2 linked regions of the Anolis sagrei genome follow. The main gene of each other region encodes a partner of the protein of the gene in region 2 in a complex. Links are inferred from orthologs where the notes say so. Each region holds a gene or a part of one and is shown on either strand. Other genes may lie near its edges.

What was found.
Region 1: FNIP1 (region 2) and LAMTOR3 share a complex: the UniProt entries of both Homo sapiens proteins name them as parts of the lysosomal folliculin complex. The link is inferred for Anolis sagrei from reciprocal best matches to the Homo sapiens genes FNIP1 and LAMTOR3.

The regions. Positions count from the first base shown.
Region 1 is NC_090025.1:26,544,746-26,552,255, forward strand, and holds the start of LAMTOR3 (ragulator complex protein LAMTOR3), read right to left. Parts: upstream 3,962-7,510; 5' UTR 3,848-3,961; intron 1-3,847. UniProt on the Homo sapiens protein: As part of the Ragulator complex it is involved in amino acid sensing and activation of mTORC1, a signaling complex promoting cell growth in response to growth factors, energy levels, and amino acids.
Region 2 is NC_090022.1:93,982,106-93,989,615, forward strand, and holds the start of FNIP1 (folliculin-interacting protein 1), read right to left. Parts: upstream 3,837-7,510; 5' UTR 3,646-3,836; coding exon 3,548-3,645; intron 1-3,547. UniProt on the Homo sapiens protein: Binding partner of the GTPase-activating protein FLCN: involved in the cellular response to amino acid availability by regulating the non-canonical mTORC1 signaling cascade controlling the MiT/TFE factors TFEB and TFE3.

The sequences.
Region 1 (7,510 bases), on a different chromosome or scaffold from region 2:
CGGCTGATGGGAGTTGCAATCCAATAACATCCAGAGAGTCACACATTTCCTATTCTATCTGATTTGGAAATCCTCAACTTACAAATCACAGAATAGTGCCAGGCTGGGGATCCTGTCGCCCTTTATATATTGTTGGATTGCTATTCCCATTTGTCCTAGCCAGCAAGGAAATTATAAGGAATGCTGAAAGCTGCAGTCCAACAACTATAAAGAAACTGGGTTGCTGTGAGTTTTCCAGGCTGTGTGGCCATGTTCCAGAAGCATTTTCTCCTGGAGAGAATGCTTCTGGAACATGGCCATACAGTCCAGAAAACTCATACCAACCCAGTGATTCCAGCCATTAAAACTTTTGACAACAAACTATTAAAAAAACATACTTTCCCACCCCTTGCTTATGGGATATTGCTGTCTTGGCCAGTGTACTGCTTTATAATCACACAAAACAATGGATAAAAGAAGCATCACAAACACTTTTTTGCTTTTTTGCTGCTAACATTTGATAAGCTGTATCAGGAAATCATGAGATGTTATTCCACACTGTCATATCCTTGAATGATAACCATGTAAACTTATGCAATCAACGCTGTCATCACACTGTTGCAACACACAGAACATGGGGGAAATCATGGCAGAAGTCATAACCAGTTATGTGAATATTGTAATACAGATTGTATTGGCTTCTGTTGAGTTTCCAAATAACACATAAAAAGAATGCTGGTTTTCCCACACAAAACCAATCACACTTTGTGCTTCCATTTTGGACTGGCTAATACCGTAGCAGCTCTATAATATTCCAATAATAATAATAATAATAATAATAATAATAATGGCTGCCATGACAGCTACTCTATAATTTATACTGTATTAAAATACAGTATTATTATACATGCTAATAAAGGCTTATTGGATTGGAGAGCTGGTTAACTATTTACTGCAAAGGTGTTTCATGTCATTTCACTGTACACAATATTTGGGATAAGGTTTGAATGGAATTTAGGGATTGGATATATGTTGCTGTAACAACAAACAAGGAAGCGACTGTTTGCCTGAATTCTAACTGCTAAGCCTCACCTTTGCCCACTAAATCAATAACTGATGAATGCATCAACACATATGTAAATCTCTGAGATTCAAAGGATCTATGTATTGTCGAAAGCTTTCATGGCCGGAATCACTGGGTTGTTGTAGGTTTTTCCGGGATATATGGCCATGTTCTGGAGGCAATTTCTCTCCTGACGTTTCGCTTGCATCATAGATGCAGGCGAAACGTCAGGAGAAAAATTGCCTCCAGAACATGGCCATATAGCCCGGAAAAACCTACAACAACCCATTCAAAGGATCTACTTTAGTTGAATTTAGTGCCCTTCCACACAGCCATATATCCCAGAATATTGAGGCAGAAAATCCCACAGTATCTGCTTTGAACTGAGTTATCTGAATCCACACTCAAATAATGTAGGATTTGCAGTCTTGATATTCTGGGATATAGGGCTGTGTGGAAGGACCCTCAGATAATCAAGTTCAAAGCAGACATTGTGGGATATAATGTGTTCTTGATGGATTTCATGGATTTCACTGGGTTGGTGTGAGTTTTCCAAGCTGTATGGTCATGTTCCAGAAGCGTTCTCTCCTGACGTTTTGCCCACATCTATGGCAGGCATCCTCAGAGGTTGTGAGGTTTGTTGGAAACTAGGCAATAATAATAATAAACTTTATTTATACCCTGCCACCATCTCCCCAATGGGGACTCGGAGCGGCTAGCATGGGGCCAAGCAAGTGAGGTTTATATATCTGTGAATGTCTAAGGTGGGAGAAAGAACTCTTGTCTGTTTGAGGCAAGTGTGAATGTTGCAACTGGCCACCTTGATTAGCATTTCATGGCCTTGCAGCTTCAAAATCTGGTTGGTTGATGCCTGGGGGATCCTTTGGTGAGATTTTCTGCCTTGATATTCTGGGTTTTATGGCTGCATGGAAGAGCCCAAAAAGAGGCTGAGTAGCCATCTGTCAGTGCTTTGACTGCATCTTCCTGCATGGCAGAATGGGATTGAACTGAATGGCCCTTGGGAGTCTCTTTTAGTCTTTTTATGATTGATGTTCAACCTGTATTATAGTACAGTCTTGCTTATCCTACATAAATGGGCCAGCAGAATGTTGGATAAGGGGAAATGTATGATAATAAGGAGGGATTAAGGAAAAACTTATTAATTACATTATGATTTTACAAACTAAGCGCCAAATCATCATGTTTTACAACAAATGGACAGAAAAAGCAGTTCAATACATGGTAATGTGATGTAGTAATTATTGTATTTACGAATTTAGCACCAAAACGTCGCACTGTATAGAAACAGCTGTGGATCCAGGAAGGAGGCGAACTGCGTTGGACAATATAGAACGTTGGATGAGCGAAAGTTGGATAAGCAAGACTCTACTGTACTTCCCTCAATCAAGACCTATGGAAGCAGCCAAATTAAAAGCAACCCTTTTAATTAGAAATCGTGAAAGAATGCAAACTTCCCAGATTGTCATGGATCTCGGGTGCTCCTTCTCTGAAGATATGGGGTGCATCTGCACCATAGAATTAATGCAGTTTGACACTCCTTTGTCTTTTAGTATCTGTCCACGGAATTCTGCTCAGTGTTTCCTTCATTTTTCGGAAATCAGCTCTCCTAAAGTCCAAAATGGGGGTTTGACTTGTCTTAGTTTTGGGCATGTTTAGCCTGAAGAAGAGAAGGCTGAGAGGAGATATGATAGCCATGTATAAATATGTGAGAGGAAGTCACAGGGAGGAGGGAGGAAGCTTGTGAGAGCCGTTCAGCAGTGGAACTCTCTGCCCCGGAGTGTGGTGGAGGCTCCTTCTTTGGAGGTGTTTAAACAGAGGCTAGATGGCCATCTGTCAGAGGTGCTTTGAATGCAATATTCCTGCTTCTTGGCAAGGGAGTGGATTGGATGGCCCATGAGGTCTCTTCCAACTCTATGATTCTATGACACCACTTTAAGGGCCATGGCTCAATGCTAGCTGTGGAATCATGGAGATGTAGTTTTGGGGGGAGGCACCGGTGTTCTTTGGCAAAGGAAGCTACAGACCTTATAAAACTACAACTCCCATTATTCCATAGCACTGAGCTATGGCAGTTAAAGGGGTGTCCAACAGCATTAATGAACCGATGGTCTCCAGAATCATAGAATCATTGAGTTGGAAGAGACCTCGTGGGCCATCCAGTCCAACCCCCTGCCAAGAAGCAGGAAAATCACATTCAAAGCACCCCTGATAGATAGCCATCCAGCGTCTGTTTAAAAGCCTTCAAAGAAGGAGCCTCCACCACACTCTGGAGCAGAGAGTTCCACTGCTGAACAGCTCTCACTGTCAGGAAATTCTTTCTAATGTTCAGGTGGAATCTTCTTTCTTGTAGTTTGAAGCCATTGTTCTGCATCCTAGTCACCAGGGCAGCTCTTCCTCCCTATGGCTTCCTCTCACATATTTATACATGGCTATCATGTCTCCTCTCAGCCTTCTCTTCTTCAGGCTAAACATGCCCAGCTCTTTAAGCCACTCCTCTTAGGGCTTGTTCTCCAGACCCTTGATCATTTTAGTCGCCCTAATCTGGACACATTCCAACTTAGATTCAACAATGTGGTGGCCAGAATTGGACACAGGATTCCAGGTGTGGTTTAACCAAGGCAGAATAGAGGGGGTGGCATGACTTCCCTGGATCTAGACACTATAGAAAGGAGGGAAAGAGTGGGATACATAGTATGCCTGCTGCAATGGAAGCAAGACGCCTTTAACCCCTTGGCAACCTTCCCCTCTCATTCACCCCCTTGGTGCCTTCCTCTGGTTACAAACCTCCCTTCTTTCCCGGGCGCCCCGCCTGAGAAGTCCTGCCTGGATCCGCAGCTGCATCCCCTTCAAGCCTCTGCTGTCATGTGACTGGAGACTTTCTCTTCCCTTTTCCTGTCCCTCACTTCCGCTTTGGAGCAGGGGAACTTCCGGTGAGAGAGGGCCAGGCCTTGGGAGGGAGGGAGGAGCCACGTGGTTCAGTTCAGTGTCTCCCAAGCGTCAATTAGGCTTATGATCACCTGTAGAGAGGTTGGTTGCATGATTGTCTTAAGCGTGGGGTCTTTCCAGGTGTTTGGACTTCAGCTCCCAGAATTCTCCATCGTTGGTGAAAGCATCTGAGGCTTCTGGGAAATGAAGTCCAATAAAAGGATTGGCCGCCTAGAGCAGTGTTTCTCAATCCTCGCCAAGGTCGCCAAGGACCATCAGAAGTGTGGGAAGTTTGGCCCAATTCTTTCTTTGGTGAAGTTCAGAATGCTATTTGATTGTAGGTGAACTATAAATCCCAGCAACTCCAACTCCCAAATTTCAAGGTCTATTTTCCCCAAATTACACCAATGTTCACATCTGGGCATATTGAGTATGCATGCCAAGTTTGCTCCAGATCCATCATTGTGTGAGTCCACAGTGCTCCCTGGATGTAGGTGAACTACAACTCCCAAACTCAAGGTCAGTGTCCACCAGACCCTTCCAGTATTTTTCTATGTGCCAAGATTGGGTCAATTCCGTCGTTGGTGGAGTTCAGAATGCTATTTGATTGTAGGTGAACTATAAATCCCAGCATCTACAACTCCCAAATGTCAAGGTCTATTTCCCCCCAACTCCACCAATGTTCACACTTGGGCATATTGAATATTCATGCCAAGTTTGCTCCAGATCCAAACAGCCGGTAGGGGTCATGCTGTTCGGAATTGTGGGAGTTGAAGTCCAAAACACCTGGAGGGCCCAAGTGTGGCCATTCCTGGTGTAGATGGACTCAAGCTGGAGAGTCCAGGCAGTTCCTTGCCTACCAAGAAGCTCCACTGGATCCAAATTCCTTGCAGCAGTAGAAGAGACTTTTTGATTAGTAGAGCAGAAAGAATAGATCAAACTCATGAAGAGTGGTAATTAAAATTGTGACTATTCACAAACACATATTGTAGTTGAAAAAGATGAACCACAACAGGAATGCAAATAAACTCTTTGTAAATTGTCTCCTTTTTTTATATTCAAGTACCTGTGACAGAACTAGAGAATCAGATAAAAATGTTTTATTCACACCGAAAATAATTTTATTTTGATACAAGTCTGATATTACATTAGGTAAATTACAAATTAGATTTTTAAAAATCTAACATTACATCTACAGTTAAATAACATATATTTTTGTTAAGATGCCAGTCTCAATTTCATAGAATTTCAATTGCAGGGTGTCTGTTATAAACTGGCAAAGCATGATTCACAAATAGATCTCTCATCCTATCAGCCCTTCCAAAACTAACACTGAAGCCCTTTCCAGTTTCTAGAGCTGTCATGAGACACACATGACAGTTCAATTCCTAAGCACTTGCTTAAAAATAACTCTTATTATTGCCAATGTCAAGTTATGCTTGTAGAGTCTGACATGTTTCATGCAATCCCAAGAAATTAGTAGTCACTATCAGAAAGTCATCCATTGACAGCAATTGTTCTGAAAACATCATTTGTCTGTAGGGCATTGATAATTTTTTTTTTTTACAATTTATTAAGTGCAGGAATGATTCTGTTTATTTTAATGTACTTGGGAATCACATTGCACATGGACATTCCTTTCTTGTAAAAACTAGAAAGTCTTCCTTCACAGTGCAGACAGTTTTGGAATATATCTTATTGAGAAAACATAGGCTAAACATCAAGAACTGCACCAATCATTTCAGTCTAATGGATCAGCTTCTCCATCAACTATATTCAGTAAGATGAAACTCTGTTATGTTTCCACAAAACCCCATCAAAGACCATTAAAGTTTTTAAATTGTGGGCCACTAATGGATTTTAAAAATGTTTATTAAATAATGACAAGGTGGCTTTCTTGTCTCATAGGAAACTAATTTCCAAAGTCAACTTGTTCTTACAGATTCAAAGAATCCCACCTCAAAACGTAAAAGCTCAATGAATTGTCAAAGGCTTTCATTTTCATGGCCGGAATCACTGGGTTGTTGTGAGTTTTCCGGGCTGTATGGCCATGTTCCAGAAGCATTCTCTCCTGATGTTTCGCCTGTATTTATGGCAGGCATCCTCAGAGGTTGTGAGGTCTGTTGGAAATTAGGAAAATGGGGTTTATATATCCGTGGAATGTCCAGGGTGGGAGAAAGAACTCTTGTCTGTTTGAGGTAGGTGAAACTTTCAATTGGCTACCTTAATTAACATTTAATGGCCTAGCGGTTTCAAGGTCTGGCTTCTTACTGCCTGGAGGAATCCTTTGTTGTGAATTAAAACATTCACACCTACTTCAAACAGACAAGAATTCTTTCTCCCACTCTGGACATTTCACAGATATATAAACCCCATTTTCCTAGTTTCAAACAGACCTCACAACCTCTGAGGATGCCTGCCATAGATGCAGGCAAAACGTCAGGACAGAATGCTTCTGGAACATATCCATACAGCCCGGAAAACTCACAACTCGGCACAAAAGCTCCTTTGAAGATGTAAACTTCTTGTGAAACTTTTTAATAGTAGAGCCCTTTTTGGATCATTGGAGGATAACATACACATAGAAACAAAAGCATTTTGAGGGGTTGCAACCTGTGGCAGGTCCCTGGGAAACAAAATTACCCTCTATTGACAAATGTATTTGGTGGGAAACACTGAACACAGTACATGATTACTTGGAGCTAATAAAAAGGTCATCTTTAAATCATTAATGCTGCCCACATTAACATATTTCAGATCCATGTAAGTTCTACAATTTTGAAAGCTACCATAAATTCATGTGTTCTATAGAACTTGAAAGCCAAAAGGGATTTCATCTCCACTTGTGATTCACCCTGCTGGACACTTCTTTCTCTGCAATGTATGAAGTCTCGCAGTAACACTTCAGCCCCTAAATCCACTGTGAAGTGACTGAACCAGAAAACAGACACAAACCGAACTGGAAGTGGTTAGGAGTCCCACGTCAGTTTTTAAAACCTCCAGTTGAGCAGGGAGATGGGAGGACAAGCAAAGCTCTGGTTCCTGGATGCTTGCACGAGTGAAAATACTGGTATATTCTATCTTTTTTATGAGGTATTGGGGTGAGTGCAAATAATAATAATAATAATAATAATAATAATAATAATAAAACCTGGGGGCTCAAAAGGCTCCCTGGGCCTACTGGAAAAGAAAGTTAAGTAACTATTACTTGTGATATTGCATATAACATTTTATGTAAATTTAAATTAATTTTAAAGTGAATTTTGCAAATTACACAATCCTGTAATCCACAAAATAAACTAAAATCATGGAATTTGAATATAGTTGCTGAGTGATGTAGAGCACAGGAAATCTGCTTTGCAGATGATTGTAGGTGTTTAAAGAATCTTATATACAAATTATTCAGTATTGCTTTGGGTTGGAGCCATAATTGGGCCGAGGAAGTGATGAATGAGAATAAGAACAATTGATCTGCTCAATTATTGAATCTGCTTTTAAAAAACATTTTAAACATTCTTTACC
Region 2 (7,510 bases):
CCACTTAAGCAAGAAAGGGAAAAGGGAAAGGAAAAAGGAAGGGGTCTGAGGCTGTTAGGAATTGTGGGAGTTGAAGTCCAAAACATCTGGAGGGTCAAAGTTTGCTAATGACTACTGTAGAATGAATGCAGTTGGACACTACTTTAAACATGCATCAATGCTATGAGATCCTGTGAATTGTTATTTGGGAAGGTATCAGCACTCTTTGGCAGAGAAGGTTAATGGCTCTATGAAACGACGACTCCTGTGATTCCATAGCATCCAGCCATGCTACTTAAAGTGGTGTCAAACTGAATTACTTCTACATAAATAGTAGTGTCAAACTGCATAAATAGGAGTATAGTGTCTAGATCCTGGGAAGTCATGCTACCCCTCTATTCTGCCTTAGTTAGACCACATCTGGAATACTGTCTCCAATTCCAGGCACAATTGAAGGGAGATGTTGACAAGCTGGAATGTGTCCAGAGGAGGACGACTAAAATGATCAAAGGTCTGGAGAACAAGCCCTATGAGGAGTGGCTTAAAGAGCTGGGCATGGTTAGCCTGAAAAAGAGAGGGCTGAGAGGAGACATGATGGCCATTTATAAATGAGGGGAAGTCATAGGGAGCAGGGAGCAAGCTTGTTTTCTGCTTTCCTGGAGACTAGGACATGGAACAATGGCTTCAAACTACAGAAAAGGAGATTCCACCTGAACAATAAAAAGAACTTCCTGACTGTGAGAGCTGTTCAGCAGTGGAACTCTCTGCCCCGGGGTGTGGTGGAGGCTCCTTCTTTGGAGGCTTTTAAACAGAGGCTGGGTGGCCATCTGTGGGGGGTGCTTTGAATGCAATTTTCCTGCTATTTGGCAGGGGGTTGGACTGGATGGCCCATGAGGCCTCTTCCAACTCTATGATTCTATGATACAGTGAAGAGGCAGCCTTGATCAGAAATCTAATCCCAAACATTATTGAACCAGCAAGAACTTCTAAAAGCCACACTTCTAACTTTAAGCAGCTGGATTTAGGCCTCCATCTTCAGGACAAAATTATACCAACAGTACACAAAAGAGATATACACACATTGTAAGATGATCATTTCGAGAGTTCAAGAAGACTCTCACTAGTCACATTTCTGTTGATGTTGTTGTTACAACAGCAAGATAAAGGGAGAGCCAGAAAAGCCCAGCCAGGCAAGGTTCCTCTGTTGTGGAAGGATCCTGACTGATTTCTCTGGTAACCCTACACTCCTCATCCGCTGTCAAGCAAGAGGCAGCGGCCCAAGTTGCAGATTTAAGGTGGCTCTGGCCAGGCACACTGCCATCCTCTTCCCCTTCCAAGGAAAGCGGCCAAGGGAAATGTCAACCTTCATTTCAATTTTTTATAAACACAGAGAGAGAGGTCCAAATCACTGCCCGGATCACCCCAACCCTTTCTGCAGAAAAGGAAAGTCATGGCTGGCAAAAGAGAAGGAAAAGACTACTCCACCCCTTCTTCCCAACTCAGCAGCAAGGGGTACATCATCTAACAATGCAATCTGACAACAGGTTAATGGCTACTAGCTTTGCTAGTTTAGCCTTCTCTGACAAAGGGAGAAACCAGAAAGGCCATCTGACAAAGAAACCCTCCAGACAGCCCTCTAACCCAGAATATCAAGGCAGAAAATCCTACAATATCTGCTTTGAGCTGGGTTAACTGAGTCCACACTGCCATAGGCAGAAAATGTGGGATTTTATTCAGCTGTGTGGAAGGGTCTAAGGGTAGCGACGCCTCACCAAACCAGAAAGCAGTCAAACTGCATCCATTCTACAGTGTGCATGCACACAAACAAGGAAAGTTTGCAAAAGGAGAGAAAGAGAGGAAGAGGGAGGAGAGTGAAAGAGAAAAGAGGAAGAGTTCAAAAATCGGCCAAAAGGAGGAAAATGGCTCGATTTTGTCTCTTTCACAGTAATGAAGAAATTTCTCTACTGCTCTCCAGCCCTGAATGTCCACGTTTCAAAGGGAGCTGAACAATTTTAGAGTTGAAGGGAGGAAGGAAAGCAAGGCTGTATGGCTGGACTGAGAAAGTGAAAGAGGCAGGAAGGAGCAACGTTGCAGGAAGGGGGAAGCCAGGGGAAGTGAGCCTTAGAGTTATTAGGGCTGGGTTGTTGTGAGTTTCCAGGCTGTATGGCCATGTTCCAGCAGCATTCTCTCCTGACGTCTCACCTGCATCTATGGCAGGCATCCTCAGATGTCGTGAGGTCTGCTGGAAACTAGGAAAATGGGGTTTATATATCTGTGGAGTATCCAGGGTGGGAGAAAGAACTTTTGTCTTGTTATTAGGGGTCTTCCTCCTGGCGATTTCCACTTGAGATCCTCTACAGTGGTTCTCAACCTGGGGTCCCCAGATGTTTTTGGCCTACAACTCCCAGAAATCCTAACAGCTGGTAAACTAGCTGGGATTTCTGGGAGTTGTAGGCCAAACACATCTGGGGACCCCGGGTTGAGAGCCACTGCTCTAGAAGTTGGAAAGGGAGGGAGCTGCACCTACACTGTAGGATTAATGCAGTTTGGGCACCACTTTGGACTGCCACAGCTCAGTGCTGAGAGTGGTGGCTTTCCTCACAAGGTCTTATAAAAATATAATACACCCCAAGGAGTCCACAGGATGAAGCCAAGTGGTGCCAAACTAGGTTAATTCCACAGTGTAGATGCACCCAGTGAAGGGCAATACTCAGAACTGGGGAGGTTGTGAATGATACTATAGATACATGGAATGTATAGAGCAGGCATCCTCAAACTGTGGCCCTCCAGCTGCTTGGGGCTCCATCTCCCAGAAGCCCTAACAAGCTTGTTCAGTTGTCAGGAATTCTGGGAGTTGAAGTCCCAAACAGCTGGAGGGCTGCAGTTTGAGGATGCCTGGTATAGAGTATACCTAGTACAGTTGTTCTCAACCTGTTGGGCCCCTGATGTTTTGGCCTTCAACTCCCAGAAACCCTCACAGCTAGTAAACTGGCTGGGACTTCTGGGAGTTGTAGGCCAAAACACCTGGGGACCCACAGGTTGAGGACCACTGAATGTATTCATAGAGTATCAGGCTGTTAGGAATTGTGGAAGCTGAAGTTCAAAACATCTGGAGCTCAGCTTGCCCATGCCTGTGCCACAGTATTGCAAATGAAGCACACACACACAAAAAGTGGGTTGCTTAAGTTTTTCAGGCTGTATGGCCATGTTCCGGAAGCATTCTCTCCTGACGTTTCGCCTGCCTCTATGGCAGGCATCCTCAGACGTTGCGAGGTCTCACAACTTCTGAGGACGCCTGCCATAGATGCGGGTGAAACGTCAGGAGAGAATGCTTCTGGGGCATGGCCATACAGCCCAGGAAACTCTCAGCTACCCAGTGATTCCGGCCACGAAAGCTTTCGACAATGCAAAAAGAAGTTCTGCGATGTGGGAGCCCTCCTGGCCCTTCCTGCATTGTGTTTACTGAGGAGGCCAAGAAGAAAGAGAGTAAGCGGGGTGGGGGGGGGGGGCAAGGTGGGAAGCCCCTCTCCTGGGGGTCCCTCCCTCCCTCCCTTCCTCTTTTCCCTACCTGAGGACGCACTCCTCCTTGGGTTCCTTGGCGGGCGAAGGCGAGGCGCTGCTCCTCTTGTTGAAAAGCTTCTGCAACAGGGTGGGCGTGGGGGGCATGGTGGGCGCAAGCAGGAGGAGGAGGAGGGTCCCTCGCCTGCCTCCCAGCAGCAGCAGCAAAGGCAGCTAGTTCCGCCAAGGCGAGTCCATTCGGCCCGCCTTGTCTCCCTCGCCGCCTCTCTCTCCCTGTGTGTGTGTATGTGTGTGTGTGTAAGGCGCCCGCCCGCCCGCGCGTGTGACAGTCATATGACAAAAATTAATCACTCGGAGAAGCCCCGGCGAGGGAAGGAGAGGGGCGGGGCTCGGGGAGGGCTTCCCCGCCGCGGATTGGCCGAGGAGGCCTGCTCACGTGGCACAGGGGCGGGGCTTGGCGCGGCTCAGAGGCAGGGTGTGTTTTGGGGCCAGAAAGGAAGGCAACGAGGAGAAGGAAGAAGAGGAAGAAGGGGGAGATCTCTCCCGCCAAATTTGGCCCCAATCCACCGCCCCCTTCCAAGCACACTCTCAAGCAAGGAGGGGGTTGGCTCGCAAAAACAAAAGGAAACATCCTCAATCGTCGTTTGTGTTTTGCTTTTTTTCAAAACTGATTTCTCCCCCTCCTCCCTCGCCTTGATTAAAGAGCTGCAGCTCCAGAGCTCGATAAGGGATGCAACTGGTTGTCCTATCTTCGCTGCCATATCATGCAGTTTGGAACTGCATCATGTGGTCAGTGTAGACCCAATGGTTTTAACCACATAATCACTCTAGAGAATGAACCCACTTTAAATCCAGTTTCTGCCTCCTGCAGAATCCTGGGATTTGTAGCTTAGTGAGGCTGTGAAAGGCCCCTCACTAAACTACAAACCCCAGAATTCTGCAGGAGGCAGAAACCAGATTTAAAGTGGGTTCATTCTCTAGCGTGATGAAGCATTGATTTTAAGTTCATAGTCACATGAACTGATTTTAAGTTCATAGTCACATGTAATAATAATAATAAAAACTTTACACCCCGCCACCATCTCCCCAAGGGGACTCAGGGCGGCTTACGTGAGACCAAGCCCAACAACACATCAGTAAAAGCAAAGCAGCAAACAATAAAACAGTACAATTAATATAACTCACATATAAGCAATAACACAAAATTTAAAACCTTATGTAGCGGGGGGGGGGGGGGGTTGAGGGGCTTCAGTCCCCCCCCCCCCCCCCCCCCCGAAATTCTCAGGGTGATCCACGAGAAGGCCTTACTGGTACGTGGCACGGTGGCGTCCTTGTCCACACCTGGGCCATCAGCGCACTCTCTTTCCTTTGATTTCAGCCTTCGGTGCCGGGAGAGGAAGGGGAGTGCGCCGGCACTATCCTCAATATATCTCATATGCATGGGGGTGTTGGGATAACGATATAAAAGGTTGGCTAGAGTAGATTCTCTCTCACTCAGACTAAGCCCCCACCCACCCCCCAAAACATTTTTCCCACATCTATGGCAGGCATCCTCAGAGGCCTCACAACCTGAACATTCACAGTAATCAATATTGCATCTACTTTGGAGAATCTGTTTCCTTAGCTGCTCCTTTGAGTTAGTACTTTCAGTTCTTACAACAAAAGTGAGGGACACACTTTGTTTTGTTCAAACTCAGCTATTGTACTATTGTGTAGAATAAAGTAAAGGATCCAAATAAGTATTGTCGAAGGATCCAAAAAAGTGTTCTCCTTTTTTCATTAAGAATCCAGAATAACCCACAAGACTGTCAAAATTCTAGCTTCTGCTTGTGATTATGACAACATCCAGAAAGAATCAGGAGAGAAATGTTAATAGGTTTCTGTGAATTTTCCAGGCTGTATGGTTGTGTTCCAGAAGCATTATCTTCTGACGTTTCACCCACATCTATGACAGGCACCCTCAGAGGTTGTGTGGTCTGTTGGAAAGTCGGCCTAATTTCTAACAAACTTCATGATCTCTGAGGATGCCTGCCATAGATGTGGGCAAAACGTCAGGAGATAATGCTTCTGGAACACAGCCATACAGACCAGAAAATTCTCAGCAGCCCAATAATTCCGACCATGAAAGCCTTCGACAACACAGAAATGATGATGTTTGTGAAAGCCCATGCTTATAATTCTATCACGTTCAACAGATGGCACCAAATAAAATCCTGGAAACCGTGCTATGTATACTCAAGTATAAATTTATACACTTTTGTAATAAAAAAATATAAAAAAACAGCCCCCACAAAACTGGGCTGACTTCTCCATAGGTCAATGTACCGTAAGTAACTCATAAAAAAAAGGAACCACCTCCCTCTCTGCGTAGAATAGCCAAAGAAGAGAGATTAGTCCATCCCAAAAGAACTTAAAACAATGTTTCCCAACCTTTGGTCCTCCAGGTGTTTTGGACTTAAGCTCCCACAATTCCTAATAGCTGGGATTTCTGAAAGTTGAAGTCCAAAACACCTGGAGGACTAAAGGTTGGGAACCACTGACCTAAAAGCAGCACCCATCTTTCTACTCTCACGGCCATGGCACCACTTCTGGCCTTTTTCCTGCCTGGATTCCCAAAGGGCAGTGGTGGTTTGGAATGAGGTGACAGTGGTGCTTTCTGTCTCCTTGGTTTGACCCACAAATTATCCACAGGTCATATCAAAATCAACCCATACATTGTAGCCTGACGGCAAGAGGATCATAAAAGCAGCATCATTCTCATCATATCTGCACACAAATGGAGAAGAAGTTGTAATTTCAAATCATATGTATAGCAGGGGTTGGGAATTTCAGGCTCGGGAGCCAAACCTACACCTCCTGGAGTCCTCATTTGGCCTTCACATTTTCCCCATCCGACTGGACTCCAATTGTGCGAGGAGGTATAATGGAATGGAGTTTCCTAGAGGATATGAACTGGAACACAGACTAAGAGCAACATTTTCTGGCATCTCCCACTTCTACCTTTTCCTGCCATTTGTTTCAGTACATACTGTTCTAGAATATAAGAGCCAAGAAGGCCCCAGCCTTACAGTCCCTTTGCAGAATGAGAGCTCTACACAGCAAGCCATGTGGAAGTGGCCAGCATTGCAAGGCCTCCTATCATCATCCCTGTCCTGCTCTCCGGGGAGTGCTATTATGGGGAAGAGTTGAAGCATGTGCTCTTTCTGGCAGAGGGAGCAGTCCTGCTGCAATGTTCCCACACCTCAAAGTTAACAGGAGAGTATCTGTAACCATTTCATCAGTGCTGCATGAAAGCCACCAATCCTCAGCTCACTATCATTGAAATAGGAGAAACATAATACTTAGCTGTTTGAAAAAGTCATTGTATGGATTATTGAGTGAATGTATGGGTGTTTTTGTCTCTCAGAGGGGAAAAAAAAGTTGCTGTTTTTGTTACTTACAGAATCCTTTTCTGCCACCTCATCACAGCATGGAACTGAAGCTGGGCTCTTAAAGCGTTTACTGCCAAAACACAAGATCTGGCAGCTTTATCAAGTTGGTAAAGCTTTGAGTACAGCCTGGTGGTAGACTGTGTATCTGTCATGTGATGACCAGCTCAGCTAAATACTGAGAATGCGGCAGCAATTATGAACATAGCAATGTAATGTGGAATCCACAACAGTGAAGGAACAAATGAGGCATTCACAGATCTGCAAGGCATTACAACAATTTTTATTCTTCCTTCCGTCGTTGTGTTTAATGTTAGCATCATAGCTCTAGATGGCCTGTGGATAGCTAAAGGTAGCAGAGACCTCTCAGATCACCTGTATTAGAGGAGGGGAACTATGGTTCTCCAAAACCTGTTGGATTGAAGTTCTCGGCAGCCCTTGGCAGCACAGGCAGTGGTGAGGGATGATGGGTACATACTCATCTATATATATAAATTTGTTAGGGGCATCCAACGAGGAAACAAAACTCAAAAACCCCCCAACGAAACTTAACCAAAATTGCCATGCCCATAACACAACCCACA